2 linked regions of the Macaca fascicularis genome follow. The protein of the gene in region 1 purifies or fractionates together with the protein of each later gene. This does not show direct contact. Links are inferred from orthologs where the notes say so. Each region holds a gene or a part of one and is shown in the gene's direction. Other genes may lie near its edges. The genes, in order: ASCC3 and RPS3.

Region 1 (15,578 bases):
TGGTCCTGGAGGTGGTCTGGTGGGAGGCACGGAGGGATACATTCCTGTTGATGCTGGTCCAAAAGGCACAGTGGAGGGTGTTGCACTTGGTGGGAGTCCAGATGGCACCGAAGGTGGAGCACTCAGATTATTCCAAGGGTTGAAGCCTGGTCAGCCTTAAGGAGGTTGGCCAGGTTTTGTATTGCTCACAGCAGAGGTTTTGGCAGGGGAGTGCTCAGGTAGTGCATCTGCCAAAGAAAATTCATCAGACATTCTCCCGGCAATATCCCAGACCACAGTAGGGTCTAGAAGGGGCGATGGGTCCGAGGGACTGGGCCCTGAAGAAGTGGGCGCAGCCTGACTGACTGCAGCCAGAGCAGTGGCTGCAACACCAGCAGCACGTGGCTCCTCTTCAATAGGTGTACTTTCAACTCATGTTCCCAAAGGTATGTCCTTTTCTTCTCCTCTTCCTTTAGACTGCTGCTTGAAATATATATGATCATGACTGTGGGCCATTTTGAACTATTACATGAAAACAACACTCTATAAATGGCGAAGTGACAAGAACGTACTCTCGTCCTGGGATGACTAAATTGAGAAAGCAACTACACGATTTCAGGATTACCCATCACTAACCTATTATATGAGAAGAAAACTCTATTAAGTTGTTGGTTTGGGGTCTCATTAAATACAGTCTTACCAATATCCTAACTTATCTCTTGGAGGAATGATAGGAAAGCAACAGTTGGCAAGGAATGATTCTTTCCTTTTCATACAATGCTTTAAGGATAAATGGAGAAAAGAAAATTGGAAGTAATTAGCTTCAAAACTAATGACTTTTATCTAGCCTTTAATATCTGAAACTAGACTTGACTTTCTTATACAAGCAAATAATCCAATTACTTCCAATTTTCTTTTCTCCAAGTCCCATGCACACACACTAACACATATTCATGGGCATACCCACATTTATCATGGGGTATCACCTGGCATTTAGGGAACCAATTGGACACCAAGTTAAATTTGCCAGTGACAACTGTGACTTGTAGTTTTTATTTCATATGTTTATATTGACTGAGAATGGTGTTGCTTTTTACAACCTAATCTATGACTGCATTCTTGAAATTGGATTTTGTCTGAATTTTGTAATATTTTATAAAAATTTAATATCTCACTACCTTATCGGAAGTAGTTTAAAATATTTTTGCAATGAACAATTCATAATTTCAAGGACACCAAAAGAAACATGGCTTTCATAGTGCATATTCACTTCAAAATTTGTAAAGTTATACATTCTTCAACACATTAAATGTTTCCTGTATGTATTTTCAAACATCCCCTACTTCTTCCCTCCTGTCTCCCAGGAAAACTTCTCTCTACCAAGGTTAATAGCTTCACCCACAGCCTTGAGTATATCCTTGTGTGCCTTTACCTTATTATTTCCTTACTTGACTCACTTCTTACAGGTTCTTTCCTTCTATTTATATCTGTTTTTCTTTCTATCCTAAAAACATCAGGCAGATAACAAGATTTTTTCTGGACCTTGATATTTCCTCCACGTATTGCCCTGCTTTTTTCATTCATTTATTAGACAAAAACAATTATCATCACTGTTTTCACTTTCTCACTTCTCATTTACTCTCTTACACTTGACATCTAATTCCATCCCTACCATGTTACTAAATTGCTTCAAATCATCAATCACTTATATTTCCAAAGACATTTACTCAATCTTCACCCTCCTTAACTTTGAAGCAGTAATTACCTGGGTGACTTGAAGAAAATTTTTTAAATATACTCTGTTTATCTCATAACTCTTTAGCCACTCTTTCTTTTTCTCCTTCATTGGCTCTCTTTCTTCCTCTCAGTACTAATTTTCCTGGATATGTACTGTTTTTTACCCTTTTATGGTAATATTTTTTAAAAAGTTCTTCTGAGGAACTACTCTTTCCTCCCTTTTATTCTGGCACTATTTGATTTACTATATCTTCATTTTTTTGTTTTCCTTTTTTAAAATTTTGATTATCATTATGTTAAATTTTTTTCTTTTCATAGGTTATTGGGGCACAGGTGGTGTTTGGTTACATGAGTAAGTTCTTTACTGGTGATGTGTGAGATTTTGGTGCACCCATCACCTGAGCAGTATATACCCCACCCAATTAGTAGTCTTTTATTCCTCACCCACTTCCCACCCTTTCCCCGAGTCTCCAAAGTCCACTGTGTCATTCTTATGCCTTTACATCCTAATAGCTTACCTCCTACTTACGAGTTGTGAACATATGATGTTTGGTTTTCCATTCTTGAGTGACTTCACTTAGAATAATAGTCTTCAATTTCATCCAGGTTGCTGTGAATGTCATTAATTCATTCCTTTATATGGCTGAGCAGTATCCCATCATATATATATACACCACAGTTTCATTTTTTTGTTTTTCAAATCTCCTGTCTTACCATCTAGTCTACTGAATTCCTTCTTTTTTTTTCTCTTTTATGTGACCTCACTTCTTGAATCCTCCATGCTCTTCTCCAATGTATACTGCTTGCTCTCTAGACTTGCTGCACAGCCATCTTGCAGAGATTTGTCCTTACCTTTCTCTAGCATCAGCATAAATTTTTGTCCTTATTTTGTTGGATTATATGGCCTAGTGAGTTTCCAAAAGATCACCCAGGAGAAAAATATTCTACATCCTTGTTAGTCTGAAAATATCTTCATTTTACTCTCACAGTTAACTGATAATTTGAATGAGTATAGACTTGTAGACTGCAAAACATCTACAATTACAATTTTGAAATATTCTGTCATTATCTTCAGATATGCAGTGATGCTGATAGCACCTGTCCCTATTCCTTTGTTGATAATATGTCTTTTGTGTTTAGGAACTTTGGGGAATTCTTCCTCATAATTTTTATCTGTGGTATTACATGATAATGTCTCCAGGCATGAGTCTTTTTAAATCTATTTTTCAATACCCCAAGTCTACTCAAATCTGAAAAGTTTTCTTCTTTGCTCTAAAAAAATCTTATACTTTTCTCACTCCCTCTGCCTTTTTTTTTTTTTTTTTTAAATCTTTCTCATCTACTGGTTGAATGTTAAGCCTATTGGGTTGGCTCTCCATGACATTCTTATGTTTTCTTTCTTATTTTCTCTCTGCTATGTATACTATATTCTTACAAGACTTCTTTGATTTAATCTCCAGTACTTCTCTTGAGTTTTTAAGTTAACATATTTTTAATGTCTGGTAGCTCTTTTTGCTCTATCGTTGCTCCTTTTTCAGAGTATCTTGTTCATATCTTGTAGCTATAATATGTTCTGAATTCCATATTAATTGGGGTGCTCCTTTAAAATCTTTTATTTATGCTTCCTTGCCTTCTTTAGAGTTAGTTTTTCTATGTTTTTCTTTGTATTTTTCTCTCATGATGCTCATTTTCCTTATTTGCCTGTTAATTCTTAATTGTTCATATATATGTGTGTATACATATATAATTGGTAGTTGATACAGTTTTCCTTTTCCTTTTGTAGGTAAGAGGTCTGACAGTTCTCTCTCTCTCTTGTGTAGGAATTGTGAATATGTGGCTGGGTTAGGTAGGACAGGGCCAGGAATGCCAAATATGAAGTTTCACTTTAGATGAGTAAGCAATTAGCTTGTTCTCAGGATGCTGGCCCTGAATGCTAGAATGAGAATGTTTTTCCTCTGCGTCATCAACCTAAAAGTTTTCACTTTTCTGTACTATTTATTCAATTAATTTGGAGAAGATTTGGGGGGTCATTTTTGGTCTTTGTTTTTATCTGGATGCAGATATTAATATCTTTTGCTTCCTCTCAGTGTATATGGATGAGAAAGGGAAATGTGTGTGGTGATAGATTCAATTGTGCCATATTTTATCCCCATTTTCAGCCCTTATTCTTACTTCTGTCCTATCCTGTGTAGCTTCTCCACTATATTTTTTAGGCTATGGTTTTGGTCAAATCACTACTATTTGCTTTGTATCCCAAGATATTTTTGAAATTTCATTTGCTTTTCTTGACATCATCTACTTTTTTCTACTCACATAAGTGCATGCATACAGGCACACATCATCTTTACTCCTTTACTTATTCTTCATTTTTTCTGTTTCTTCATTTTTATTTCTGTACTGTGTAGGAAAGGATAGTAGGCAAATGATATGCTGAGTTCACCATCTTGAACAGTAATTCAAGAAAATCGTTTATATATTGTAAGCATATATTTTGAAACCTGGGTAAAACATAGTGCAGGATTCTCCAAAGCTGATTGTCCCTTTGCCCACATGACCACCTCTACAACATTCTTATTCAAAGGGAAATGAAATTACTTTGGGAGAAGCTCACATTTTTTGAGTTGTTTGGTACTTTAAAAAAATCACCTCATTAGTTAAGAAAGAGGGAAGAAATTGTGGTTGAGGAGGCAAACAACAGTGTCTGCCATGGTAGTAATCTAACTTTTTTCTTTTCTAATATCACTTATTTAAAAGAGTAGGAAAACATTTTAGAATTGAGTCTTTTATTAATCAGCATTCCCCAAAGGTTAAGCATCAGCTTCAGAGAAGGAACTGCACTGGAGTGCAGTAAAGATGGAATATTAAGACTCGGTGTTGCAGGATGAGGTGGGGTGAAAAAGGGCAGGGAAGAACTGACTGACAATAGATACAACAAGAAAGGCCTAGAAGCTGAGGCTACGGCACACTGGTGAGCTAGGCAGACCTAGTGGACACACATCCTGAAGGAGGTACCCAGAGACTGATGGGCTGGAAATGGTTCTGAAACTTGGCAGCCCATCCCCTCAACCCACGAAGTGACAAGTCTGAGAATGAAAGGCTAACATACTAAAGATAATGAAACATAGAAATGAAAAAAGTCAAAAGCGTGAATAATTTTGTTGAGCTACAAAAAATAGCTTGGAAACACTTCCACCTTGAAATTTTCTGTTCTTGAGACAATTTTGAGATAACTAAAGGCACTCTTTGCAGAATGATCATGTTACACATATACATAAAACACACACAAACTTATATAATTTTACCTAAATGTGTTCATATTATGTATAGATTGTGTTGCAAGCTATTTCATTCAACTGTACATCTTAGACATATTACGTATCAAGCAATACAGATTCACATTATGCTTTTTTAATGCCTCGAAATTTAGAGATGTATTACAATTTAATTTAAATCAATCCAATATTGAGCCTTTTTTTGGTATGATACTTTTTTTTTTTTTAAAGACAGTGTTTCACTCTGTTACCTAGGCTACAGTACGGGGGTGTGATCATGGCTCACTATAGCCTCGACCTCCCAGCTCAAGTGATCCTCCTGCCTTAGCCTCCTGAGCAGCTGGGACTACAGGTGCATGCCACCACACCCAGCTAGTTTTCATATATATATATATGTGTGTATATATATATATATATATGTGTGTGTGTGTGTGTGTGTGTGTGTGTATATATATATATATTTTTTTTTTTGTAGAGAAAGGGTTTTGTCATGTTGCACAGGCTAGTCTCAAACTCCTGGGCTCAAGCAATTCACCTGCTTCAGCCTCCCAAAGTGCTGGGATTACAGCTGTGAGCCACCACACCCGGCCATATGATACATTTATAAATGAAATGTGGAGTTTTGTTTCGTTTTTCAATTAGAGATGGGGTCTTGCTCTGTTGCCCAGGCTTGAGCTAAATGGCATGATCATAGCTCAGTGTAGCCTCAAACTCCTGGCCTCAAGAGAGCCTCCCAATTCAGTCTCCTTAGTAACTAAGACTACAGGTGTGTACCATCAAGTCTGGCTATTTTTTTTTCTATTTTTTGTAGAGATGGGGGTCTTCCTACGTTGCCCAGGCTGCTTTTGAACTTCTGGCTTTAAGTGATCCTCCTGCCTCAGCTTCCCAAAGCACTGGGATTACAGGTGTTAGCCACCGCGCCTAGCCCACTGCAATGAGTTTTAATTGGTTTCCCAGCCATGCACTACTTTCAACCCACCCTACCCAATATTGCCAAAATAATCTCCCAATTCCATTTTGTGACCGCCAAACACTGACTGCCTATTATACTCAATTCTTTAAATTTAAAATTGTGTCTCCTTATAGTTTGTTTACATTTTAGCTTTGTCACTAGCTTCTATTAACAATGTTCCATTACAGATAAATAGGTTACTTATTATCTAGAATGCAGTTATAGTCTTGTTTCTTGGCTTTGCTCATGGCATACTTTCTGGACAGTCTCTTTGTCATCAGGGCCCATTCTCCTTAGGCTGTCTTTCCACTAACATTTGGGGAAGCTGAGCTTGATGGCATGTACCTGTAGTCCTAGCTGCCTGGGTGAAGCAGAAGAATCATTGAGCCCAGGAGTTCAGGGCTGTTGTGCACAATGATCGTGCTTGTGAATAGCCAGTGCACTTCAGCTTGTGCAATACAGCAAGACCCCATCTCTTGAAAAAAAAAAAATTGAGGAAACCCCGGGGACTATAAAGAGGACAAAAATAGTTCTTAAGAGTTCAGTGAAGTAAGGCCATGCCTCAGTGTCCACAGGGAATTGGTTCCAGGACACTCCCACATACCAAAACCCCAGGATGCTCAAGTCCTTATACAAAATGGCATAGTATTTACATATAACCCATGCACATTGTCCCATATACTTTAAACCATGTCTAGGTTACTTATAATATCTAATATAATGGGAAGTGCTATGTAAACAGTTGTTATACCCATATTGTTTAGGAAATAATGACAAGAAAAAAAAGAGTCTATGCATGTTCAGTGCAGACATAACCATTCTTCTTCTTTTTTATTTTCTAATTGTTTTTGTTCCAAAGTTGGTTGAGACATATACAGAAGTCATGGATACAGAGGGCTAACTGAATTTCCTTCCAGGCTAGGACTATTTAATAGAAATATGATGCAAGCCCACCTATGTAATTTAAAATTTTCTAGAAGTCACATAAAAAGTAAAAATAAAGTTGAAATTAATTTTAACATATTTTATTTGATCCATTATATATAATTTCAACACGTAATCGACGTAAGAATTACAATATTTTACATTTCTTTTCTAAGTCTTTGAAATCTGGTGTACATTTTGAACTCATTGCATGTCTCAATTTGGACAAGCCACATTTCAAATGTCAACAGACATATTTAGCTGGTGGCTACCCTAATGGATAGCGCAGTTCTAGGTAGTGTATTTTCGATTCTTCTCTTCTCCCTTAAGCCTCTGGAACTGTGATGAGAATAATCTGCCATGTGAATTCCTAGCACTTATCAGCACCTCTCATTATCAAGTGGCCTCCTTGCATTATTTATTTTTGTGATGCATTTGTCTTCTCTCATGAACTAACTTGTAAATTCTATGAAGTCCAGGACCAAAGACACATGCAATCTCAAGATTGGAAATAGCTTTAACAAAGCCATCAACTAATTCTTCTGTTGATGTGTGGCTCCCCTGTACCAAGTCCCTATTAAGTGAGCTTCAGAATCTCCCTGAAGCAAAATTCTGTTGTTGAAGTATTTACACATGCTAAGGTAGGAAATTCTTTTTGGGTCGTGCTACAAGGGCATCTTCTTTTCAGGATCTTAAATCTGTTCCCTGAAGTTTGCATCACATGAAACAAATCAACTTCACATGACAGGTCACTTCATATTTGGAGAGAGTCCAGTAGTTTTCACTCTTCTAACTGAGTCCTGGAAGGTTTAATCAACACTTCTTCACTTGCCCTGTTTTTGAGTTCTCTTCATCATTTTGCTCTTCCCTGATAGAATGCCATCTTGATTGAGGTCTTCTTCAAATGCTGAACACAGCACTTCAGAGGTGGTCTGACCATTAAAGAGAATAACTGGATCACTATTGGCTGCCTCTACAAAACAGTTCTACCAGGCATCGGGGCACATTACCTTATGAGGAAGCGGGAATGGCAGAGGAGAGCCACAACAAACACATTCACTCATACTATCGTTGCATTGTTGGCTTTTAGTCTAGAACTCTTTGCAGATAAACCACATAGTTCTTTAGGTTAGTTTTTCTTCGTATCTTCCTATCTTTTCAATCGAGTTAGGGAATCTTCGGGCTTTCTGTTTTTGGAGGAGGTCTTCTGACCCAAGGACCGACTTGCAGAGATCACTTTGAGGGAACTAAGCTGAGAATCCAGAAAGCTTATGGAAAACAGGCCTTGACACCAGAGAACCATGTATACTTCCAGTAGCCAGAGAGCTTCGGCTGAAGACGACGATAACAACTACCTGTTTCTTCATTCAAATTGCTCTCTTTTCCTTTACCTTTAATAGGAATTATTTCCTCCACATATTTACCTTATGGAGAAGGGCGGCAGCCTGAAGTAAATGCAGGGGAAAAACTCACAGAGAGGTCGAGATGGCAGGCCTGGCCCGGCGCGAGCAACCAGGGTAAAGCACACCGTTCAGGGCCGCTCCCGCCTGGGCCTGGCGACTCATCCTCGCCGCCGCCGGGACCTTCCGCATCTGCTCCTCCGAGCCCAGCCTACTAGAGGCTGGAGGCGGGAGGCGGGGCGACGCGCGCACGCGGGCGGCGCGGAGGGCCGGGAATCGACGAGTCGACGTGCCGACGTTGGCGCTGCAGCGGGGCGGTGACGTGTAGGCCGGCGCCCGCTCCACTCTGTCCCTCCTCGCCGGGTCCGTGGGTCTGTCTGTCTGGCTGATGATCCTCGCACGCAGTTCCCTGTGACTGGGCGCGACCCCGGCAAGCGCGGCGTGGAGGGCTGACAGGGCGCGGCGGTACAGCTGCCCGCCCGCATCTTTGGCCCTGCCCTCAGCACCTCACCCGGCGTGGGAAGTTAAAGTAAAACCGAAAGGGAAGGAGGCGCGGTGGCAGGAGCTGACGGAGTGAAGGGAAACGCGTGAGCCGGGCCGAGAGGTGAGGAGGTGGAGGTGGGAGGACGAGAAGGGTCGCCGCGGCCAGGGGAGCTGACTGGAGGCGGGGACGGCGGGGCTGGCTACGCGACCCGCCGAGAGATTCTCTTCCTACCTCTGGGGCAAGTCCAGACCTGTCATCCTTTTCGGTGGTTTGAGGTCGAGTCCGGGGTCTCGCAACAATACCGCCCATTCCTAGAGTTTGTAGGTGGGATAGGGGATAGAAAACTTAACCTAAGCCACGTATTGTCTAGGTATTAAGCCACAACGTGACCAGATGAGGTGTTTTTTCCTGTCCCATGCATGGGTAATTTGTTTTCTTTCTTTTTTTCTGTTACAAAGCCTTGGTAACTAAGTTTTTTTTTCACGTAGATTTTGAAAAAGAAATCTTCCTCGTATTTTTCCTCCAACACACTGAAAAGTAAATAGGTAGCTGACCGTGGTGGATTGTGGGTGAATTTCGCAATCAAGGAGCCTAGAATGTCATTTTGAAATAAATAAATGTGTATGTGGGTGCTAGGGAGGTTTTGTGAGTAATGGGCAGTTATTTCAAATAGGTTTCTTATCATAAATTATCCGTGGAATGCAGTGTGCTAATGGTATTTGCTATTCTTTGGTTTAAAAGAAGCATAATTCTAGGGTTTGGTAAAAGTTAGATGTGTTGTCACTTGTGCATTCAAACTCATAGTTACGTTTTCTTTCTTTCCCTAAGTTAGGTTAGACTGATAGCCATTTTCTCCTCACCAGATTTTATGTTTCATAGATTGAAATCCTTTTTCTGATTCTCAGAGTTCTCAAAAGTTGAGAATTCAGCTTTTGGTTTTACCATGGATCGTGCTCCAGTTTTTGTCGTCTCTTTTGTTTAATGATGGTTATAATAGTTTTGCATGAGAAAAATGATCCTTAAAGATGCTGTTAAGCTTAGGCTAAATAATCTTACTTATATGAGTAAATTAATTTTTCATGGGTTCAGCTTTCTTGATCCCTCCTTAACAGTTTTTTGTCATTCATTCATTCATTCAAGTCTTCCTATGTGTCAAACGCTGGGCCAGACCTAGGAGAGCAAGAGAGAGACAATCTCTGTGCTCATGAACTTTCTATAATCCAGCAGCCTCCTTAAAGAGAGAATCTTGACTAGGGTTCTTTCTCATACCATGGATGTGTAGTTGACCAAACCAAAGCTTTTAAAAGAAAAAGTTATTGTCAATGTATATATATAACTGGCATTGAAAGAGGAGCAGATGATCTTGCTTTAACAGCATGATTTGATATTGCCTTTGATCAAAAAGATAGTATATGTACCAGTGGTTTGCCAGTTCAGAAGAGTAAGTTTTTCTTTTGCACAGCTGGTTTAAATATAAAGTTAACAGTTCTACCTCAGTTTCTACCTCAAAATAAATAAATAAAAAGCTTTTTCTTTTGAGATAGAAATCAGTTGCTTTCCAGTCTTCACATTGGTCTGATTGATCTCCTGTGTATCTCTGGAACGCCTGGGCTCAAGCAATCTCCCTGTATCGGCCTCCCAAAGTGCTGGGATTACAGGCCCCATTTTGCCTTTTTGTGTGCTAATAAATAGACTAAGAATTTTGTCTTTGCTAGCTGGCTGCCCCTAGTAGCTTCAGGATGGGAGCTGGTTACCAGAAAGATCAAGGAATTATTAGAAGGTTGGGACTTTCATCCCTACCCCCTAACTGCTTAGGGAGGTGAGAGAGGGGCTGAAGATTAAGTTGATCACCAGTGGCCAAAGGGTTTAATCAATTATGCCTATGTAGTGAAGCCTCCATAAAAACTCAAAATGACAGGGTTCAGAGAGCTTCTGAAAGCTGAACATGTGGAGAGTCCTTGAGGTGGTATGCCTAGGAAGTACTTGGAAGTTCTGCATGGAAATTCCCTTCCCTTTTAAATTACCCTATCCTATGTATCTCTTCATCTGTATCCTTTGTAATATCCTTTATAATAAGTTGGTAAACGTGTTTCCCTGAGTTCTGTGAACCACTCTAGCAAATTAACCGAACCCAAGGAGAGGGTCATGTAATCCCCAATTTATAGCTGGCCAGTCAGAAGTACAGATAAAAAAGTCTGGAACTTGTAATTGGCATCAGAAGTGGTGGGCAGTCTTGTGGGACTGGGCCTTCATTCTGTGGGATATGACAGTATCTCTAGATAGTGTCAGAAATGAATTAGAGAACACCTATCTAATGTCTGCTGCAGAAATGATTGCTTGCTTGGTGCGTAGGGAGAAACTCATACACATTTTGCCACAGACATCTTCTGTGTTGATAGTTGTGGTGTGAGAGCAGAGGAAAAACAATTTGAGTTTTTTCCACTCTCACAAGAGGGCAGGTGTAAATTCCTTGAGTCTGCCTTCCAGAGGCTTATGGATTAGGGTGGAATGAGAATTTGTCTTTCAGACATAATCTGTGCTAGGCCCTTTTCCACTGGACCTTTTCTTTTGTGCAAAGAGTTGTAATATATACTGCCTAATATGTGCTGGGTCTGTTCCATGTTTTCTTGAGAGTAATGGGTGTGCTTGTTTCATCTTTGTGGGATGTTCTGGAATTTTTGACTATGCTTGCCTTATCTGGTGCTAAAATATTTTTTTGTTTTCCCAGGGACATTTAAAGGAAAAGCCTTCCTTATCCTGTGCTAAAAGTAAAATTAACACAACTTTGGGGGGAATATTCTGAATATAAAGGCTAATCTGCTTTATAGTTATAAGCCTGTCCAGGATTTTTTTTCCCCCACCTTTGGGTGGGAAACCTAGTTAGAGGATAAGTTAGAGAATAAGAGCCCCATTTTGTTTTAAATTTTGTTTTTAACTATTTTATATTTTGTATTGTGTGAAAAGTGTTTATGTATTTTATTATTTTGGTCATGCTTTCTCTATTCTACATGCTTCAGATGTGTTTCCTAACTTGATTGGGAACTATTCAAGAGCAATTGCTTCTTGCTTAAGAATGAGTTAGCATCTAAAGTGAACTTGTTAGGTGGAAACTGTGAATAGCGAAGATTACCTTTGAGAATCCCTTAAGAGGACATCAGGTTGGCATAACATGCTGTCTCTCAGCACGTCCTACACAGCTGTGTTTTTCATCCTGACTTGGAATGTATCACAGTTTCTTTAGATGAACTCCCAGTGAAAAAGTTGGTCTGTGTTTGGTCACCACCTTGTATGTTTTTTAAAAAAAGAGAAAAAGTATTAAAAACTAGAGTCATGCAATGCAGCAAGATGCTCACATTTTGAGATGCATGTGGTGATTAAAACAGACTGAAAGAGCAAGATTCTTGTTGCCCATCCGCCGTTCACTCTAGAGCAGGTATTCAATACCTGAAATGTAAGCAGAATCTCTAGTAATTATTGTTTTTGTCTGACTCTACCTTCCTTTTTTTGGCCTACAGTGTTTGGTAGATTAAAGAAAGTAAAATGTGCTTAGACTCTGCTGTATGAACCAATTGATGGTAATAAGGTTTAATACAAGTAAGAGATAAAAGGTTAAAATTATCTTTAGGATTTACCATGAAAAATCAACCCCTTTTGAAACGGCATAATGGAGGATTGTATATATGTGTCGATGGTGGCTATTTTCTGAGTTCTGATCTTGCTAATATTAACAATATCACAACTTAATTTTTTAAAAATATAAATATTCTTATTCACTGTTTATTTAATCTTTATTCACTGTTCATTTTTTCAAGGTGTCGGTTTGTGGGTACAAGATTGTATTTTAAGTATTGAAATCTTAAATTCTAATTTTACTCCATTTACAACCTGCTCCTTCATGTCAGTGGTTTTATCCCTTAATCTGCACTGTATCACTTTGACTATTTTTGTCCCTTTAATAATTCCCTAGTATCCATAATTGTCAGTAACTAATTGTTGACTGAACTTATTAGGAAATATAGTTTGACTGTTTTGGAGATTTTCTCATTTGTTTATAATGAAAAAATACAGTAACTGTATTTTCCTAAAGTTGCTATCAAGCAATTAGACCATTTAGAGTTAAGAAACACAGGTTTGGTTTAAGAAGAATAAATGTTACAATTTTTATATGTAGTACTTCAGAATAGTGTGTATTGGGATTCTAGCTCACTAATTATTGGTTAATATCATCTCCCAAAAGGAAATATGCTACCATTAGATTAGTTTTCTCCTTATTTGGAATGTAAAAAAGGGCAGTTACATTTTCAAGACTTTCTTTTTATCTGTACTTTCGTTTAATTAACAATTTAAAGATTTGTTCAGATAGCCACAGCCAGTACTTCTAACAAAAATAGGCTTTTAGGGTTTCAATCCTTTAGAAATTATATTTGTTATGGGGCATTAAGTATTTATTATTAACAGAATTTTTCATTTATGTATTTATCATTTAGTGGACCATATTAATTGTGGAGTAAAAATTAGTAAGGTAAACATTGATATGCAGGCCAGTTTTTCTTAATACTTATTCACTGTGATCTTACCAGAAATTTTAACTATGAATGTTATGATTTGTCTTTAAGACCTCCTAGTTGAACATCTTTTCCTTTCATCTAGGCCTAAAGTTAAGCACTTAACAACCCTCATCATTTAGGCTTCATTGTCCCACAACCCCTGTGTTATAAAACCTTAACCCTGGTTCACACCAACCTTTGTTCCTATGCCAGATTATTGCCACCTTTTGTTTGCAGTATGAGCTGAACATTCATTGCTACCTGAAAAAGATTTCTTCTGTTATTGTGGGTGGTAAGTTCAGACTTTTGCCTCTGTAATAGAAAAAATCCCATCTCATCACCTGTTTGAACAGTCTCAGCATATCTCAAATAAAATAGGAGTCATTTTGGTGGAACTCCCTTTTACCCTGTTTTTCTCTCCTCCTTCACCCTCTGCTTAACCATGTTATAACTATATTCACTTCCACTCATCTTTCCTTCCATACTTATCTATCCAAGTCTCTCTAGACCTGTGCTTCTGTTGTCATTCTCGCCTGTATTCTCAGAGACCCTAACTCCATCAGTCATGGTCTTTCTCCTGATTGCTCAACTTTTCCTTCTGTCTTTGTTCTCCCCTGATTATGACAGAATCATGATCAACTCTATCCTGTATTTTCAGAAACTCTTAAACCACACTATTTCAGTATTTCTTACTTTTTCTCCTTTTCTTTCTTAATTTCTTGAAAGAATAGCATATACCAATTTGTAGATTTTTTTTTTCTTTTTTTTTCCCCCCCATTTTCTCCCTTTGCATTTATCCTTTAATTCACTGAGATTTACCTTCTACCATTTTTGGAAACTAGGTGTGCTAGTCATCTGGGACCTCAGAGTTGCTGAGTACAGTGGACTGTATCATGTCATTTGAAACTTTCTTTTCTCTTGTCATATCACTCTTTCCATATGACTACCAATTTGTGGATCACTTTCTTAGAACTCTGTTCTTAATTCTCTACTGTCTACTTCCAAGAGGCCTTTAGGAGTAGAGTGCATTAATGGGCATTCATGCAGCTTTTGAAATGGAGTATAAAATGTTGTTTATATGTATATATGTCTGTTTTCTTAGGAAGAGGGTCCATGGGCTTATGTATATTTGACTTAAACGAATATTATGTTCATCCATGGTTTTAACTGTGATGAAGTGATAACATGAAATTCTGGATTTCCACCCCAGACCTCTGATACAAAATCCAAAACCATATATCCCACTTGATAGCCCATAATTAAAGTTTTCCAAAACAGAATTATCATTCCTCTTCCTGATGCCCTCTATACATAATAGAGTCCTCCACTCTTCAGCATTTCCTAAGCCAGAAATTTGAGTGTCCTGCTGCTTTCTCCTTCTTTAAATCCTATTCCACATTGATTCTGTCTTCCAAGTATACTGATCTCCTAAATCCATCCTTTTATGCATTTCCCTGGCTTAATTCTATCCTCTTTATCTTTCACTTGGTTTATTGAAAACCTTTCCAACTGGTTTGTCTATGTCCTGTTTGACCCCACCTTGACAGTTCACCACATGTAAATCTGAGTAATTTTTCTATAACATGTTAATATTTTTTCAGTGATTCTGATTATCAGAATGAAAAGTGCTTAATTTGAGACATGTTGTTTGGTCTCTGCTTACATCTTTAGGTCTTATTTCATCAGTTTCCAAATGCACATTCTGTAGGGGTTTTAAAAGTAATTGAGTCTGTTATTTTGGCTTTCCCCCTCATAGTTTACCCCTTGTAATAACCTTGTCTAGGTCCTTTAAGTCTCAGCTCAAGCTCAGCTTCCTTCCTTTATATCTAGTGCCCTCCTACCCCTTTAGATGCTCCTTCCCTGTCTTCCTACAGTTATAGCTGCATAATTATTGCAACTATTTTTCTTTCTTCCTAACCATACTGTAAACTCATCATTGAGGGCAAGTGCAATCATATCAAAATGTTTTTCTTTTTTTAATCTCTAGAGCCTCATAAAATATCTAATATATGGTGGGTGATCTATACATATTTGCTGAGTAAATGAATAACATAAGATTTAAAATTTGTTTTCTGAATTTGACCTTTATACATTTCAAATACAACTTAAAGGGAATCTTTTTCCTGGTACAAAATACAATGTGTTTTGAGGAACTGTAAACTTTATTAACATCCAGTGCCTAGCCCAGATCCTAGTAGATAGGAGAAACTCAAATATTTGTGTATGAATGGTTTATAGGTAACAATGAGCTAATGAACTGTTACATTTTTAGTGTTGGTCATT
Region 2 (15,506 bases), on another chromosome or scaffold:
ATTAGCATTTTTTATCAATAAAATATTTTTAATTAAGATATGTACATTTTTATTTTAGAAATGCTACTGCGCACTTAATAGACTACAGTTAAGTGTGCAATAGTGCAAATATAACTTTTACATGCACTATAGTATAAATATAACTTTGATATGCACTGGGAAACAAAGCAAATTCAGGTGACTCACTTTGTTGTGATGTGTCTGGAGCCAAACCTGCAACATCTCTGAGATATGCCTGTAATTCTAAATGTCCTAGTAGCAAAAAACAGATGAACTTAATTGTAATAGCATTTTATTTAACCCATTATATCTAAAGTGTTATTGTTTCAACATGTAATCAATATAAAAATATTAATGAGACATTATATTCCTTTTTATATTTCCAAATCTGATGTGTATTTTCCTCTTACAGCACTTTTCCATCCAGACTAGCCAGTTTTAAGTGCTCAAAAGCCCCACGAGGCCAGTGGCTATGGTATAAGATGGTACAAATTTATAGTCTGATTAAGAGACTCTGAGTTTTTTGTTTTGTTTTGTTTTGTTTCCAAGACAGAGTCTTGCTCTGCTGCCCAGGCTGTAGTGCAGTGGCGTGACCTCGGCTCACTGCGACCTCCGCCTCCCAGGTTCAAGCAGTTATCCTGCCTCAGCCTCCTGAGTAGCTGAGATTACAGGTGTGTGCCACCACACCCGGCTAATTTTGTTATTTTTAGTAGAGATGGGGTTTCACCATGTTGGCCAGGCTGGCCTTGAGCTCCTGACTTTTGGTGATCCACCTGCCTCAGCCTCCCAAAGTGCTGGCATTACAGGCATGAGCCACGGCTCCTGGCCCTAAGACTCTGAGTTTTCTATCATAGAACACGTTGTAGGTGAAAAGAAAAATTAAAAAAAAAAGACTGAGTTTTCAGAGGAAAGGATTATGACATTTTGTGTTGTAGACAAAGACATCCCCATTGTTTCACAAGTGGCCACATTATCAGAAATCCATATATGTTCGTGTTTCCTTACATTTTTTCTTTGTTTTCATTTCACAAGTAACACGTGAATATACTTTTTTTTTTCTTTTTTGTGTTTTGAGAGAGTCTCGCTCTGTCACCCAGACTGGAGTGCAGAGGCTCGATCTGGGCTCACTGCAACCTCCGCCTCCCAGGTTCAAGCCATCCTCCCACCTCGGTCTCCCGAGTAGCTGGGACTGCAGACCCACGCGCCCAGCTAATTTTTGTATCTTTTTGTAGAGATGGAGTTTCGCCCAGGCCCGTCTGGAACTCCTGAGTTCAAGCAATCTGCTCACCTCAGCCTCCCCAAGTGCAGGGATTACAGGCGTTAGCCACTGCACCCAGCCAATATATTTTAAGAAAAGTCAAGCCGGTCGGGCGCGGTGGCTCAAGCCTGTAATCCCAGCACTTTGGAAGGCCAAGACCGGCGGATCACGAGGTCTGGAGATAGAGACAGTCCTGGCTAACACAGTGAAACCCTGTCTCTACTGAAAATACAAAAAAAAAAAAAAAAAAAAAAAAAAGCCGGGCGTGGTGGCAGGCGCCTGTAGTCCCAGCTACTCGGGAGGCTGAGGCAGGAGAATGGCATGAACCCGGGAGGCAGACCTTGCAGCGAGCCAAGATGGCGCCACTGCACTCCAGCCTGGGCGACAGAGCGAGACTCTGTCTCAGACAAAAAAAAAAAAAAAAGAAAAGAAAATTCAAGCCATAATTGCTCCTTAACCTCCCCTAATACTGCTGCATTCCCCAGAGGTAACCTTAGTTCTCTGTTAGTTGAGTATAAATCCTTCCATTCATTTACATGCATAGATATGTTTTATTATATTTTACATACATATTATAGAGTAATATTGTTCTGCAACTTGCTTTTTTTCACATAGCAGTATCACTTGGTGCTTTTTTCGTGCAAATACATAGATCTATTTCTTTTTTTCTTTTCTTTTCTTTTTTTTTAAAGAGTCTTGCTCTGTTGCCCAGGCTGGAGTGCAGTGGCGCCATCTCGGCTCATTGCAAGCTCCGCCTCCAGGCTTCACACCATTCTCCTGCCTCAGCCTCCGGAGTAGCTGGGACTACAGGCGCTCGCCGCCACACCTGGCTATTTTTTTTTTGTATTTTTAGTAGAGATGTGGTTTCACCGTGTTAGCCAGTATGGTCTTGATCTCCTAACCTCGTGATCCGCCCGCCTCGGCCTCCCAAAGTGCTGGGATTACAGGCGTGAGCCACTGTAATTTTTCTTTCTTTTTTTTTCTTTTTTAGTTATTACATGATATTCCACAACCATTTTCCTACTGCAGGGCTTTTTGGCTGTTTATAATTTAGTTTTTCACTATTACTAACAATGTTCTAATAAGCATTCTTGCAATCACCCCATGTACATTGTGTGAGTGTTTTTCTGAAGTAGATAAAAAGAAATATATTTTCTAGGCCAAAGGGAATCTACATCTTCAATTTTAGTGGATACTGCCAAGCTGCCCTCCAAAAAGGAAGAACCAGTTCACACCTCACCTACAGAGTGAGGATGCTTGTTTTAACACACCCTTCCATACACTGAATCTTATTTTTATTTTAAGTAGGGGTATTCAGAAGTGTGAGTCTTTTAAGCAATGATACAAAAGCAGTGAAAAAAGATCTGTTCAAATTTATTTGACAGCATTCTTCTATGAATATGCAGAGACTCAATTTGAGGCCCAGAGTGAGTCACCGATCTATTTTAACCAAATCACTGAGAATCCAATGACATCATTGTGTCTCTCTGGGGGTGTCAGACTCTAAAGTAAGTGACAACTGAATATGGTCGCTATTGCCCTAGAACAGCAATCCCTTAACAGGTGCCATAGTGGAGACCCATTTACCCTCTCTCTGTGAACAGAAGAAGCTCCTCTGTCCTCCCACCTCCCTCTGAGCCACTCTGGAGCAGCAAGGCAGGGACACCCACCCTTATTCCCACAACTTCAGTTCTCTCTCTGTCAAGCTCCTCAAGTGGGATTCAGGTAAGTTTTTCTTCCTCTTTCTTTTCTTTCTTTCTTTCTTTCTTTCTTTCTTTCTTTCTTTCTTTCTTTCTTTCTTTCTTTCTTTCTTTCTTTCTTTTCTTTCTTTCTTTCTTTCTTCTTTCTTTCTTTCTTTCTCTCTCTCTCTCTCTCTCTTTTTTTTTTCCTGAGACAGTCTCACTCTGTTGCCCAGGTTGGAGTGCAGTGGCACAATCTTGGCTCAGTGCAACCTCTACCTCCTGGGCTCCAGCGAGTCTTGTGCCTCAGCCTCCTGAGTAGCTGGGACTATAGGCCTGCCACCATGCCCAAATAATTTTTGTATTTTTAGTAGAGATGGGGGTCTCACCATGTTGGCCAGGCTGGTCTCAAACTCCTGGCCTCAAGTGATCTGCCTTGGCCTCCCAAAGTGCTGGGATTACAGGCGTGAGCCACCGTGCCTAGCCTTTGGATTCAGGTAAATTCAGGTAAATTCAATGCTTTCTATGAGGTTCTACTGTTTTCAAACTGTTCCCAGAAACTGTGGGCTGTATTCATTTGACCAGGGCAAATCTCACCTTTGGTTTTCAGGAATTTCAGGAAAGTCCTTTGTGACGCTCCAAGGGCCCATGCATGGCCCAAGTGTGGCCACAAAGCCATATGTTTCTCAGACACTCACAGTCCTCTCTTCACAATCCAAGGGACAATTCTGTGACTCTGTGGGCTAAACAGATAGAGTTTTGCTTTCTTTTTGGATACCCAGGGAGAGATTAAGGCACTCTCACTGTCCTTGCTCTTAGTAACAACTCAATGTATTACAACTACTATTGTTTCCACAGCATTGAGTACTATATTGCCTTTTTCTTATAATAGTCTTAGACAGAGGAAGGGCAGTATGATCAAGACAAAGGCTTCCTTCATGGACGTTCTCCTGGGACTGGGGGGTGACACTCAGGCAGGCAGCCTCCTGGCATCCCTGGGGAAGGGCAGCAGATGAGCTACCACATCATCAAGAGGTGGCATTTACCTCAGAGAACTTGCCACTGTCTGATCCTCAGCTTTGAGCCTCCAGAATTTGGTTTTCTGAACATCCCAGATAAGATACAGCATGTGCAGGCAAATTCATATTAGTTCCGTGCTACAAGGAATTATCTAAAAACTAGAATCCATGCATTTATTTGTTTGCTCTTCAAACTTTGACTGACACTGGGCCTGAGCCTGTCCAGATCCAAGCTCTGAATAGAATGAATAAAATAGGTTCAGTCCAGGCTCTTACAGAACCTACAGTCTACTGAGAGAAACACATAGACCATTCCAACCCAGTGAGATGAGTGTTACAGGAGGGGATGCACAGAACACTACTGAAGCAATGAGAGGAGGCACAACCCTGAAGAAGTGGTGTGTTTAACATGCGGGCAGCAGGGAAAGGAAAGAGTCAGTATGAAGCGAGATGACCATGAGCAAGGGGGAGAATGATTGCTAGAGCAAGGTCTCAAGGAAACAGAACTAAACTGGGACCAGAACACAATGGGAAGGCTGGCCTTGGGAAGAAAGATGGTCTCTTTCCTAAGCTGGGAAGGAAGGAGGTAAGGATAGCCAGGAATACACAGGATTATAGGATGGGCAGGAGGCAGTTTCTGGCTATACAATCTATTAGGGGGCCAAGGGGCTAGGAGGGAGGTTGACTTCTGAAAGTGAGGAGGTTCTGGGGTTAAAGCTTTGTCAAATATTATAATAGGGACTGTGGGAGAATGTGAGGCATATGGGAATGAGGAAATAGAAGTGATTCACTGAGAGGGTCTAGGAGCCTGCTGTGATTTTACTCTCATCCCAGCACACAACGGCGGGTGCTCTCCTTCAGCGCCCACATCTCTAGTGAAGACATAGGGAAGTCAGGCAGGTGGATTTACCAGGCTCACGTTTTCAGCAACCTGGCACCACTCTATAGACAGACCAAGGAGCTGGATGAAGAGGCGCATGAAGAGCAGAGAGAGAGAACAGATGGACGGGGAGCGGGGTTGGGGGGGCAGTGGGAAGAAAAACAACCTATTCCTAGGTTCCTCATCTCGGTAAGGGTTGTCGCCAAGCATTCACGACTGAAGTCAGAAACTAGGGCATCTGCTGGGTGCAGTGGTTCATGTCTGTAATCCCAGCACTTTGGGAGGCCGAGGCGGGTGGATCATCTGAGGCCAGGAGTTCGAGACCAGCCTGGCCAACATAGTGAGACCCTGTCTCTACTAAAACCACAAAAATTAGCTGGTGGTGGTGCGTGCCTGTAATCCCACCTACTCGGGAGGTTGAGGCAGGAGAATCGCTTGAACTCGGGAGGCAGAGGTTGCAGTGAGTTGAGATTGCGCTACTGCACTCCAGCCTGGGCGACAGAGGGAAACTTTTTCCTAAAAAAAAAAAAAAAAGATAGATCCACAGCTACCATCTCTTTGGTTCTTTGGTTCGTCCACTTCTCTTTTCTTTTCTTTTCTTTTCTTTTTTCTTTTCTTTTCTTTTTGATAGAGTCTCACTCTGTCACCCAGGCTGGAGGGCAGTGGTTTTGACCATGGCTTACTGCAATTCCACCTCCCGGGTTCAAGAGATTCTCATGCCTCAGCCTCCCAAGTAGCTGGGATTACAGGCATGCACCACCACACTTGGCTAATTTTTGTATTTTTAGTAGAGATGGGGTTTCACTATGTTGGCCAGGCTGGTCTCAAACTCATGACCTCAGGTGATCCACCCACCTCAGCCTCCCAAAGTGCTGGGATTACAGGCGTGAGCCAACGCACCCAGCCACTTTTTGTCGTCTTCCCTGGTCCCTCTGCTCAGCTCCTGTAGAACTCTGTTAATTCCATGATTATAGGACAGGTCACTTTACATCAGAGTTGTTTTAGTGCTGGAGTTAAACACTCCAATGGCTTCTAGGACCAGAAAATAACTGAGTGATGCTGCCAGGGAGTGTGGCACATTGGAAAGCCTCTTTTGGTATAACGGGGAAGGAGAGCACTGCCCATGAAGAAATGTGGGTTCACTATTTTGCTAGATATTTCTATATTCTTTTTTTTTTTTTTTTTTTTTTTTTTTTTGAGACGGAGTCTCGCTCTGTCGCCCAGGCTGGAGTGCAGTGGCGCGATCTCGGCTCACTGCAAGCTCCGCCTCCCGGGTTCACGCCATTCTCCTGCCTCAGCCTCCCGAGTAGCTGGGACTACAGGCGCCCACAACCGCGCCCGGCTAATTTTTTGTATTTTTAGTAGAGACGGGGTTTCACCGTGGTCTCGATCTCCTGACCTTGTGATCCGCCCGCCTCGGCCTCCCAAAGTGCTGGGATTACAGGCGTGAGCCACCGCGCCCGGCGATATTTCTATATTCTTTTTTTTTTTTTTTTTTTGAGATGGAGTCTCGCTCTGTCACCCAGGCTGGAGCGCAGTGGCGCCATCTCACCTCACTGCAGCCTCCGCCTCCCGGGTTCATGCCATTATCCTGCCTCAGCCTCCCGAGTAGCTGGGACTATAGGTGCCCGCCACCACACCCGGCTAATTTTTTTTTTTTTTTTTTTTTTTTTTTTTTTTTTTTTTTTTTTTTTTTTTTTGTATTTTTAGTAGAGACGGGGTTTCATCGAGTTAACCCGGATGGTCTCCATCTCCTGACCTTGTGATCCGCCCACCTCAGCCTCCCAAAGTGCTGGGATTACAGGCGTGAGCCACCGCGCCCGGCGATCTTTCTATATTCTTAAGAAAAACCTGAAATAGTTTTAGAGAGAAATACCCTGACTTTTACGTGAAGAAAACTATTCAAACTTAAAACTGTTATTGAAGTGTTTAGGGGTAAAGTTTACCAATGTCTGCAACTTACTTTGAAATGCCTCAAAAGATATATTGGTGGGTGGCTACAGGGATGAGTAGATATATGATAAAGCAACAGCAAAATATTAGTTGTAGCATCATTCTCAATTCCCCCTCAGCTTGGTAATGCATACATGTACAGTTTTTCCAACTGTTCTGTAAGCTTCATAATAAAATGAACAGACATTTAAATTTTTTTTTTTTTTTAGACTGAGTCTCACTCTGCTGTCCGGGCTGAGTGCAGTGGCACAATCGCGGTTCACTGCAGCCTAGACTTCCTGTGCTCAAGCAGTCCTCTCACCTCTGCCTCCAGAGTAGCTGGGACTACAGGCACACACCACCACACCCGGCTAATTTTCTTTTTTCACTTTTTGTAGAGATGAGAGTGTCTCATTCTGTTGCCCAGGTTGGTTTCAAACTTCTGGCCTCAAGCAATCCACTTGCCTTGGCCTCCCAAAGTGCTGGGATTACAAGCCTGAGCCACTGCACCTGGCTAGAATTTTTTTTTAATTGAAAAAGAAGGCCGGGCGCATTGGCTCATGCCTGTAATCCCAGCACTCTGGGAGGGTGAGGCAGGTGGATCACTTCAGGTCAGGAGTTCAAGACCAGCCTGGCCAACGTGGTGAAACTTCATTTCTACTAAAAATACAAAAATTAGCCGGGTTTGGTGGTGTGCACCTGTAATCCCAGCTACTCAGGAGGCCAAGGCAGAAGAATCGCTTGAACCTGGGAGGTGGAGGTTGCAGGGAGCTGAGATCGTACTACTGCGCTCCAGCTTGGGCAACGGGAGAGAAAAGAAAGAAAGGAGAGAAAGAGAGAGAAGGAGGGAAGGAGGGAAGGAAGGAGGGAAGGAAGGAAGGAAGGAAGGAAGGAAGGAAGGAAGGAAGGAAGGAAGGAAGAGAGGGAGGGCGGGCGGGCACACGAGCCACTCTCTGGGACTTCTGTTACAAATTGTAATGGACTTGATGAAAGTAAGGTGGAGTAAATGAAAACAACATAAAGGGCACAGAACACAGTCCCTAGGACACTTAGTAAATATCAGGTTTTATTATCATTTGGAATGGAGGAAATGGGCACAGACTGGGGGACATTCTTTTTTTTTTTTTTTTTTTTTGAGACAGAGCCTCACTCTGTCGCCCAGGCTAGAGTGCAGTGGTGGGATCTCCGCCCACTGCAACCTCCACCTCCCGGGTCCAAGCAATCCTCCCACCTCAGCCTCCTGAGTAGCTGGGATTACAGGTGCCTGCCACCACGCCCAGCTACTTTTTCTATTTTTAGTAGAGACGGGGTTTCACCATGTTCGCCAGGCTAGTCTTTAACTCCTGACCTCAAGTAATCCGCCCGCCTTGGCCTCCCAAAGAGGAGTCTTAAATGAATTTCACTGAGGGATTTCAGCAGATTTTCATTACAATGTCCACCCTGAAACTGTAGGGGCCAGAGTTCCACGCTGGTTAAACTCTGTTGCTGTGTGAACTTATACCTGTAATTTCCACCTCTGCACCTCGCATTGCTTGTTTTTAAACTATGAGAATTGAACTCGCGGCCGGGCGCGGTGGCTCAAGCCTGTAATCCCAGCACTTTGGGAGGCCGAGACAAGCGGATCACGAGGTCGGGAAATCGAGACCATCCTGGCTAACACGGTGAAACCCTGTCTCTATTAAAAAATACAAAAAACTAGCCGGGTGAGGTGGCGGGCGCCTGTAGTCCCAGCTACTCCGAAGGCTGAGGCAGGAGAATGGCGTGAACCCGGGAGGCGGAGCTTGCAGTGAGCTGAGATCCGGCCACTGCACTCCAGCCTGGGCGACAGAGCAAGACTCCGTCTCAAAAAAAAAAAAAAAAAGCGAATTGAACTCTAAGATCCTCTGAAGTCTAGCAGTCCTGCTGGTCGAACCCCCTTTGCTGTTCCTGCCTACACTCTTCCTTCCCTTGACGCCTTCTTTACGTAAAAACTACATTTCCCATGAGCACCCATAGGCGTCCACGTAGCGCAGCCCTGCGTCGTCGCTTGCGCCCTTTATACTCACTTCCGCCCGCCCGCCACTTCTTTTTCTTTCGGCGGAGCGCGGCGGCAAGATGGCCGTGCAAATTTCCAAGAAGAGGAAGGTGAGCCTCTGGGGACTGGGTTCGGGGAACGACTGCGCCGCGAGGGTCAGGGGCTTCTCGGGTGCCACCGCGAGGCCTGCAGCTCCGTGCCCTGCCCTGGGAAGCGGCTTAGGCCTCCTGGCATTCCCACGGGCCGCGGATGGCGGTGGATTGAGTGAGAGGCCCGAGCCAGGCGGGCGCTGTGTGGCCGGGTAAGGGAGAGACAGGTTTTTCTCTGGTTCCGAGTGAAGCGCAGAGAGATGGGGACCAGGCGCCCCTTCTGTCCCGGAGAAGGCGTTTGTGAGCATTTTTTGGTCAATGGAATTAGTAAACGTGGCATTTTGAGGGCGTGTGTCATTTCCCTCATGTCTTATCCCATGGTTTTGGGAAGGGGAGGCAGCAGTGTATACTTGTCTTCTTACTGGTCGAGTCTGGGTACAGTCTGCTGGTCCCACGACCTCAACATGAAGGGTTACTGACGATTGCTTGCTCCGTCTGAGGACCCCGGGAGGAAGCTGCCTCGGATTTAACGCTTTGTTATTCCATGGGAAAGAACTGTGTAAAAATCATTAGCTTTAAAAATAGACAGTTTGTCATTTCGTATACCTACACTTCGATGTTAAAATTAAATCCACAACTCTTGTGAGTTAGGATTTTCCAGCTCTGTTTACAGTTAAAACCACAGGTACCGTAAGGCCAGATAACATGGCTGGGATTCTTTAGACGGTCCAGGTTGTGTCTGCAAGTGAGAGAGCGTATGTTAAGTCCACTATCTATTCTGTTCCTTCACAGTGACAAGTACAGTGTCTTTGCTGTGCTGAGTGAAGTGTAAATAGGCTATTTTAGAGCAGTTTCTTGTTTTGCATGTGGAACTGTTTTAAACCCTTCGATGAAGAGATGATGACGAGTCTGACTTGGGGGTGTTGCCTTCGCCCAGGTTGCCTACTCTGTGCTGCATTCTGTGGCACAGTTTAAAGGGCCCTGGTTGAAGTAACTTCCTAAAGATGACCTAGAGGCATTTGTCTGAGAAGGGTTGCTGCACTCCTGTTGGAACAAGGGTTTGGAACCATTGGTTGGAGGTATTTAGTTTTGGGGAGGGATGCATTGACTAATAAGACACTGGCTCAGGCGAAAGTGAGCCTACACCGATGTCCTAATTTTGAACTTCGCTTTTTTTGGATTAGTTTGTCGCTGATGGCATCTTCAAAGCTGAACTGAATGAGTTTCTTACTCGGGAGCTGGCTGAAGATGGCTACTCTGGAGTTGAGGTGCGAGTTACACCAACCAGGACAGAAATCATTATCTTAGCCACCAGGTAAAACTCACTTGACTGGCCATCACCTATAATTGTTGTAAATGCTAAGTTGGTTTATTCCTTTTTTTTTTTTTTTTGTGAGACAGAGTCTTGCTCTGTCCCCAAGGCTGGAGTGCAGTGGTGAGATCTCTGCTCACTGCAAGCTCCGCCTCCCAGCTTCCTGCCATTCTCCTGCCTCAGCCTCCTGAGTAGCTGGGACTACAGGGGCCAACCACCATGCCCGGCTAATTTTTTGTATTTTTAGTAGAGAAAGGGTTTCACCCTGTCAGCCAGGATGGTCTCGATTTCCTGACCTCGTGATCCGCCCACCTCGGCCTCCTGAAGTGCTGGGATTACAGACGTGAGCCACCGCGCCTGGCTGGTTTGTCCTTTGTGAACTTAAGGGGATAGACAGCCAGTGAGTCTGGGCTTAGTGAATGTAATTGCTTCTTAAAAGCTGGATTTTAAGGCCAGGCATAGGATCGCTTGAGCTCAGGAGTTCAAGACCAGCCTGGGCAACATGCGGAAACCCCCTCTCTAAAAAAGATAAGGGTGTGGTGGTGCATACCTGTGGTCCCAGCTATTCCAGAGGCTGAAGCAGGCGATGGCTTGAGCCCAAGAGGTCCAGGCTGCAGTGAGCCATTGGTGTGATCCAGCCTGGGTGACAGAGAGAGACCCTGTCTCAAAAAAAGCTGCATTTTGAAAATTTAACTTTAGTTTTTGTCAATGAAAATTATATGCTTTGTGGCAGAGATTTTGCTACCACATATATATGCAAGATTTAAAGTTAAATCTAGCATTTGTGAGAGTCATGAATTGTCACTTTTTCCCCGCCCAGAACACAGAATGTTCTTGGTGAGAAGGGCCGGCGGATTCGGGAACTGACTGCTGTAGTTCAGAAGAGGTTTGGCTTTCCAGAGGGCAGTGTAGAGGTGAGTGATTCTGGCGTATGCCAGAGATAATGGCTCTTCAGAATGATAACTTCTAAAAACTGGGAGACTTTGTTCATTACAAATGGACTGATACAACTTTGTTGAAATTCTCTTAATGAATAATGGGCTTAACTTTGTAAGCCTGTTCTGCTAATGGCTGATAGTTAAAGGATTTTACATTCAACTTGGGTATAGAAATGATGCATATGATGGATTGACTATCCCCATTGGTGTACTTGGTATGGCCAAAGGAGCCAGGGTGGGAGGGCAAGGAACCTGCACTGTGTGTAGGTGGTAGAAGTGCTTTAGGAATTGAGGGATACTGAAATTATATGCTGTTTGTGATGGTGTTGTGCAGTCTTTTGGCCTCCGTAGGCCACGTTGGAAGAATTATCTTGGGCCACGCTACTGGTAGTGCAAAAAATCACGATGTTCAATTTTTGTTGGGCCACAATCAAAGCCATCTCCTGGGCAGCATGCGGCCTCTGGGTTGGGCAAGCTTGGTCTAGAAAGTGATGCTTGTGTGACATGCCAAATTTTCAACTTTCAGTTGAAAACAGTGGTGATGGTAACAGGATGTCCCTTCCTTCCTTTAAAGCTTTATGCTGAAAAGGTGGCCACTAGAGGTCTGTGTGCCATTGCCCAGGCAGAGTCTCTGCGTTACAAACTCCTAGGAGGGCTTGCTGTGCGGAGGTAAGTGTCCTGAGACCTAATGGTCATGACCTTTTGTGTGTATCAAAATATATGTCTCCTGTTTGTTGATTAGCAGATGAACTGTTATAAAGTGACAGGATCTGCTAGTCTCCCAGGATTATAGTAAGATACTAAACCATGCCCTCACTGAATTGGCAGACTAGCAAGACTATGAAAGCAGCAAGAACCATAAAGGGTGGTCAGTACTGTAATGGAGAAGTGTTCTGGGTGCTTTGGGAGTTCAACACAAATAGAACTGTCCAAGGAGGGGACCAACTCCTGTTGGTCTTCGCGAGGAGGCTTTACAAAGAGCCCTGTCGGGGAGTGCGGTGGGCAATGAAGAATAATTAGGCCTGTTACTGGGTGTGTGTTATGTATCCCTAGGTAGAAGTGCCTTAGTACTTGTGGGATACCATGAAACTTCAGTAGGAATCATTTGGATCTACTTAATGTGTTCACTCTTAAAATGGTACTCTGAAGAGATAAGATAGACCTGATGCGAGAGAGCTTAAAATCTAGACACTTAACCTCTGAGTTGCATGCAGATAGTAATGTGAGGGTGTACTGGTAAGATTTCAACAGGAAGTTCTTTGTGCAGTTAGACTGTATGTAAAGGCATTGAAATGCCTTGCCTAGAGGAATGATAGGAAAACTGTGCTGTAGGAAGGTTGACTGGTAGGGATGGGTAGTGTAGACAAGGCCGTAGGTAAGGACCTAGAAAAGACTGCTTACCTGGTTCGAGTGCCCGCTAGGCGCTTAGAACAATGGTTCTCAGAAGATTAGTGCCAGTCCTAGACCCACCAAATAGGAAACTGGATGTGTGACTCAGCAGTCTGTCTTAGTAACCCCTCCACATGCTAGTTGCACACATTGAAGCAAGTTAATGTACTTCTGAGCCTGGGATCTACTATCTTCTAAGGTGAACCATCATACCACCTCTTAGTTGTAGAATATTAAGTAAGATAATGTGAAAGGGCCTGGAGGTGGCTAGCTCTCCAGTTAGTATGTCGCAGAGTGTAAACTACTGAATGAGTTGGGGGGTAGGGCATATTTTAAAATGTTTTATCAGCATTCTAATAGCAAGGTAGCCAGGATCCTAGGTGGGTTAGCTTTCCTAGTGAATGAGACTTCGGAGGTTGCAGAGTATTACAAGGGACCACAAAGTGGGTAATTGGAGTTTAAAAATGTGGTTCTCAATTTTGATTATACGTGAGAATCACCCAGGGAGCATTTTTAAATACATGTGCCTGTACTTTGCCCATTTAATTGGCTTAGAGTAGGGCCTAGACATCAGCGTTTCTTTTGTGTTTTATTTTAGCCTTCCGAGGTGATCCCAGTATGCAGCCAGAGTTGGAAAGTACATGTTTAGGAGCTTGACATACTTGATGAATATTACCCTAAGATTCCGTGTGATAGGTGTGGAAGAGAATTGGTATCATTGGGGCCAGATTCTGGTCAAATTTATTCTCCATTAAAGGAACATTGAATACTAAGTTTTTGTTTTGTTTTTTAAACTTGGTGGAGGTCCTTGATAATAACACAAGTAGATCTCTTCTTTTCTTCTAAAGGGCCTGCTATGGTGTGCTGCGGTTCATCATGGAGAGCGGGGCCAAAGGCTGCGAGGTCGTGGTGTCTGGGAAACTCCGAGGACAGAGGGCTAAATCCATGAAGTTTGTGGATGGCCTGATGATCCACAGCGGAGACCCTGTTAACTACTACGTTGACACTGCTGTGCGCCATGTGTTGCTCAGACAAGGTGAGCAGCTGAGAGTGCTTGTCAAAGGGCATTTGTGGATAGATTTGGTTTTCCACAGACATCTAAAAATTTGGGGGAGTTTATCATGGAAGCAGCTGGGTATGTTCATATTCCTTGGCATATCGATTACCACATTGATCTGTAAGAATCAAATTGCTGAGACCTGTCAGATCCAAGAGTTGGTTTGTCTTTTTTAGCCATCTGTGTACCCTTCAGTGATGACATGATGACGAGTCAGAAAGGTCACCTCCTGCTCTTGGTCCTTGTCAGTACCATGTTCTGTGGTGCTGTGCGTGAGTTCCTTCTGCAGAAGTGTCCTATTCATTGATTGATTTAGAGGCATTTGTCTGAGAAGGGACCAGACCCAGGAGTGCTTGAGTAAACTGCTTGCTCTCTTTGGTGTTGTGTGATGGGGGCCGGTGAGATCCCAGCTGTGTGCTAACAACTGTGGTGTCCTCTAGGTGTGCTGGGCATCAAGGTGAAGATCATGCTGCCCTGGGACCCAACTGGTAAGATTGGCCCTAAGAAGCCCCTGCCTGACCATGTGAGCATCGTGGAACCCAAAGATGAAATACTGCCTACCACTCCCATCTCAGAACAGAAGGGTGGGAAGCCAGAGCCGCCTGCCATGCCCCAGCCAGTCCCCACAGCATAACAGGTATGTCTGCAGGGGCAGGGGCCTCTTGGGGCAGAATAGGGTCCTTCCTAGTCTTTCTGTTAATACTTGTATCCCACATTCTGGTAAGCATTTGGTGAATAAAAATTGCATTTATTTACTTTATGTGGGAGAATACAAGTTGAAACCTGGGGTCTATTTAACCCTCAGTTCCATTGGGACAGGTGTTTGCCTTTATTTTCAGAAGTTCCTGCTTTCACTCGTGTGTATGAAATGAAATAGTTTTCCCTTATCTTCCCTTATTTGCTCAAGATTTTTTTTTTTTTTTTTTTTTTTGAGACATAGTCTTGTTCTGTCACCCAGGCTAAAGTGCAGTGGCACGATATTGGCTCACTGCAGCCTCTGCCTCCCGGGTTCAAGCAATTCTCCTGTCTCAGCCTCCCGAGTAGCTGGAATTATAGGCATCTGCCACCAAGCCCAGCTAATTTTTGTATTTTTAGTAGAGACAGGATTTCACCATGTTGGCCAGGCTGGTCTCGAACTCCTGACCTCAGGTGAACCACTGTGCTCAGCAGCTATGGTCAACACCTGGGGTTTTTTTGTTTGTAGGTGTTGTGTCTCTAGGTGCCTTGTATTTTTTTTTTTTTTTTGAGACGGAGTCTCGCTGTGTCGCAGGGGCTGGAGTGCAGTGGCTGGATCTCAGCTCACTGCAAGCTCCGCCTCCCGGGTTTACGCCATTCTCCTGCCTCAGCCTCCCGAGCAGCTGGGACTACAGGTGCCCGCCACCTCGCCCGGCTAATTTTTTGTATTTTTTAGTAGAGACGGGGTTTCACTGTGTTAGCCAGGATGGTCTCGAGCTCCTCACCTCGTGATCCGCCCCTCTCGGCCTCCCAAAGTGCTGGGATTACAGGCTTGAGCCACCACGCCCGGCCGCCTTGTATTTTTTTTTATATATAAAAAAGGACAAACCCTTATATATTTTGTTAATGTTGCTGCAAACCCTCAATGGGAGTGTGTATCCATTTGGTAAATAAGGAACTTAATAACTCTGGTAAAATTTCTTACTTTTGTGCTTTATTTGGTTTCAGGGTCTCCTTGGCAGCTGTATTCTGGAGTCTGGATGTTGCTCTGTAAAGATCTTTAATAAAATCTGGTACAAAGACACAAGGCCTGAATAGACTGTTTAGTATTCAGACTGAGGGGCACGTTGGCCTCTGGAGCATTACATATCTTCTTGGTACCATACTTGAAGTATTTGCAAGGGCCAGAACTGTAAGACCCAAGCAGAGCCAACCAGAGAGATCTTTGTGTGATAGTGAAGACTGATAGCAAGCAAGGCAGCAC

The links.
Region 2: the proteins of ASCC3 (region 1) and RPS3 purify together in Homo sapiens (co-immunoprecipitation; 4 studies listed by BioGRID and IntAct, with this or other methods). This does not show direct contact. The link is inferred for Macaca fascicularis from reciprocal best matches to the Homo sapiens genes ASCC3 and RPS3.

What each region holds. Positions count from the first base shown.
Region 1 is NC_088378.1:74,428,379-74,443,956, forward strand, and holds the start of ASCC3 (activating signal cointegrator 1 complex subunit 3), read left to right. Parts: upstream 1-8,564; 5' UTR 8,565-8,868; intron 8,869-15,578. UniProt on the Homo sapiens protein: ATPase involved both in DNA repair and rescue of stalled ribosomes. 3'-5' DNA helicase involved in repair of alkylated DNA: promotes DNA unwinding to generate single-stranded substrate needed for ALKBH3, enabling ALKBH3 to process alkylated N3-methylcytosine (3mC) within double-stranded regions.
Region 2 is NC_088388.1:74,273,761-74,289,266, forward strand, and holds RPS3 (small ribosomal subunit protein uS3), read left to right. Parts: upstream 1-8,832; 5' UTR 8,833-8,862; coding exon 8,863-8,892; intron 8,893-9,755; exon of another isoform or gene 9,756-9,903; intron 9,904-10,055; coding exon 10,056-10,186; intron 10,187-11,003; coding exon 11,004-11,097; intron 11,098-11,695; coding exon 11,696-11,790; intron 11,791-13,358; coding exon 13,359-13,546; intron 13,547-13,756; exon of another isoform or gene 13,757-13,902; intron 13,903-14,007; coding exon 14,008-14,201; 3' UTR 14,202-14,204; intron 14,205-15,250; 3' UTR 15,251-15,329; downstream 15,330-15,506. UniProt on the Homo sapiens protein: Component of the small ribosomal subunit. The ribosome is a large ribonucleoprotein complex responsible for the synthesis of proteins in the cell. Has endonuclease activity and plays a role in repair of damaged DNA.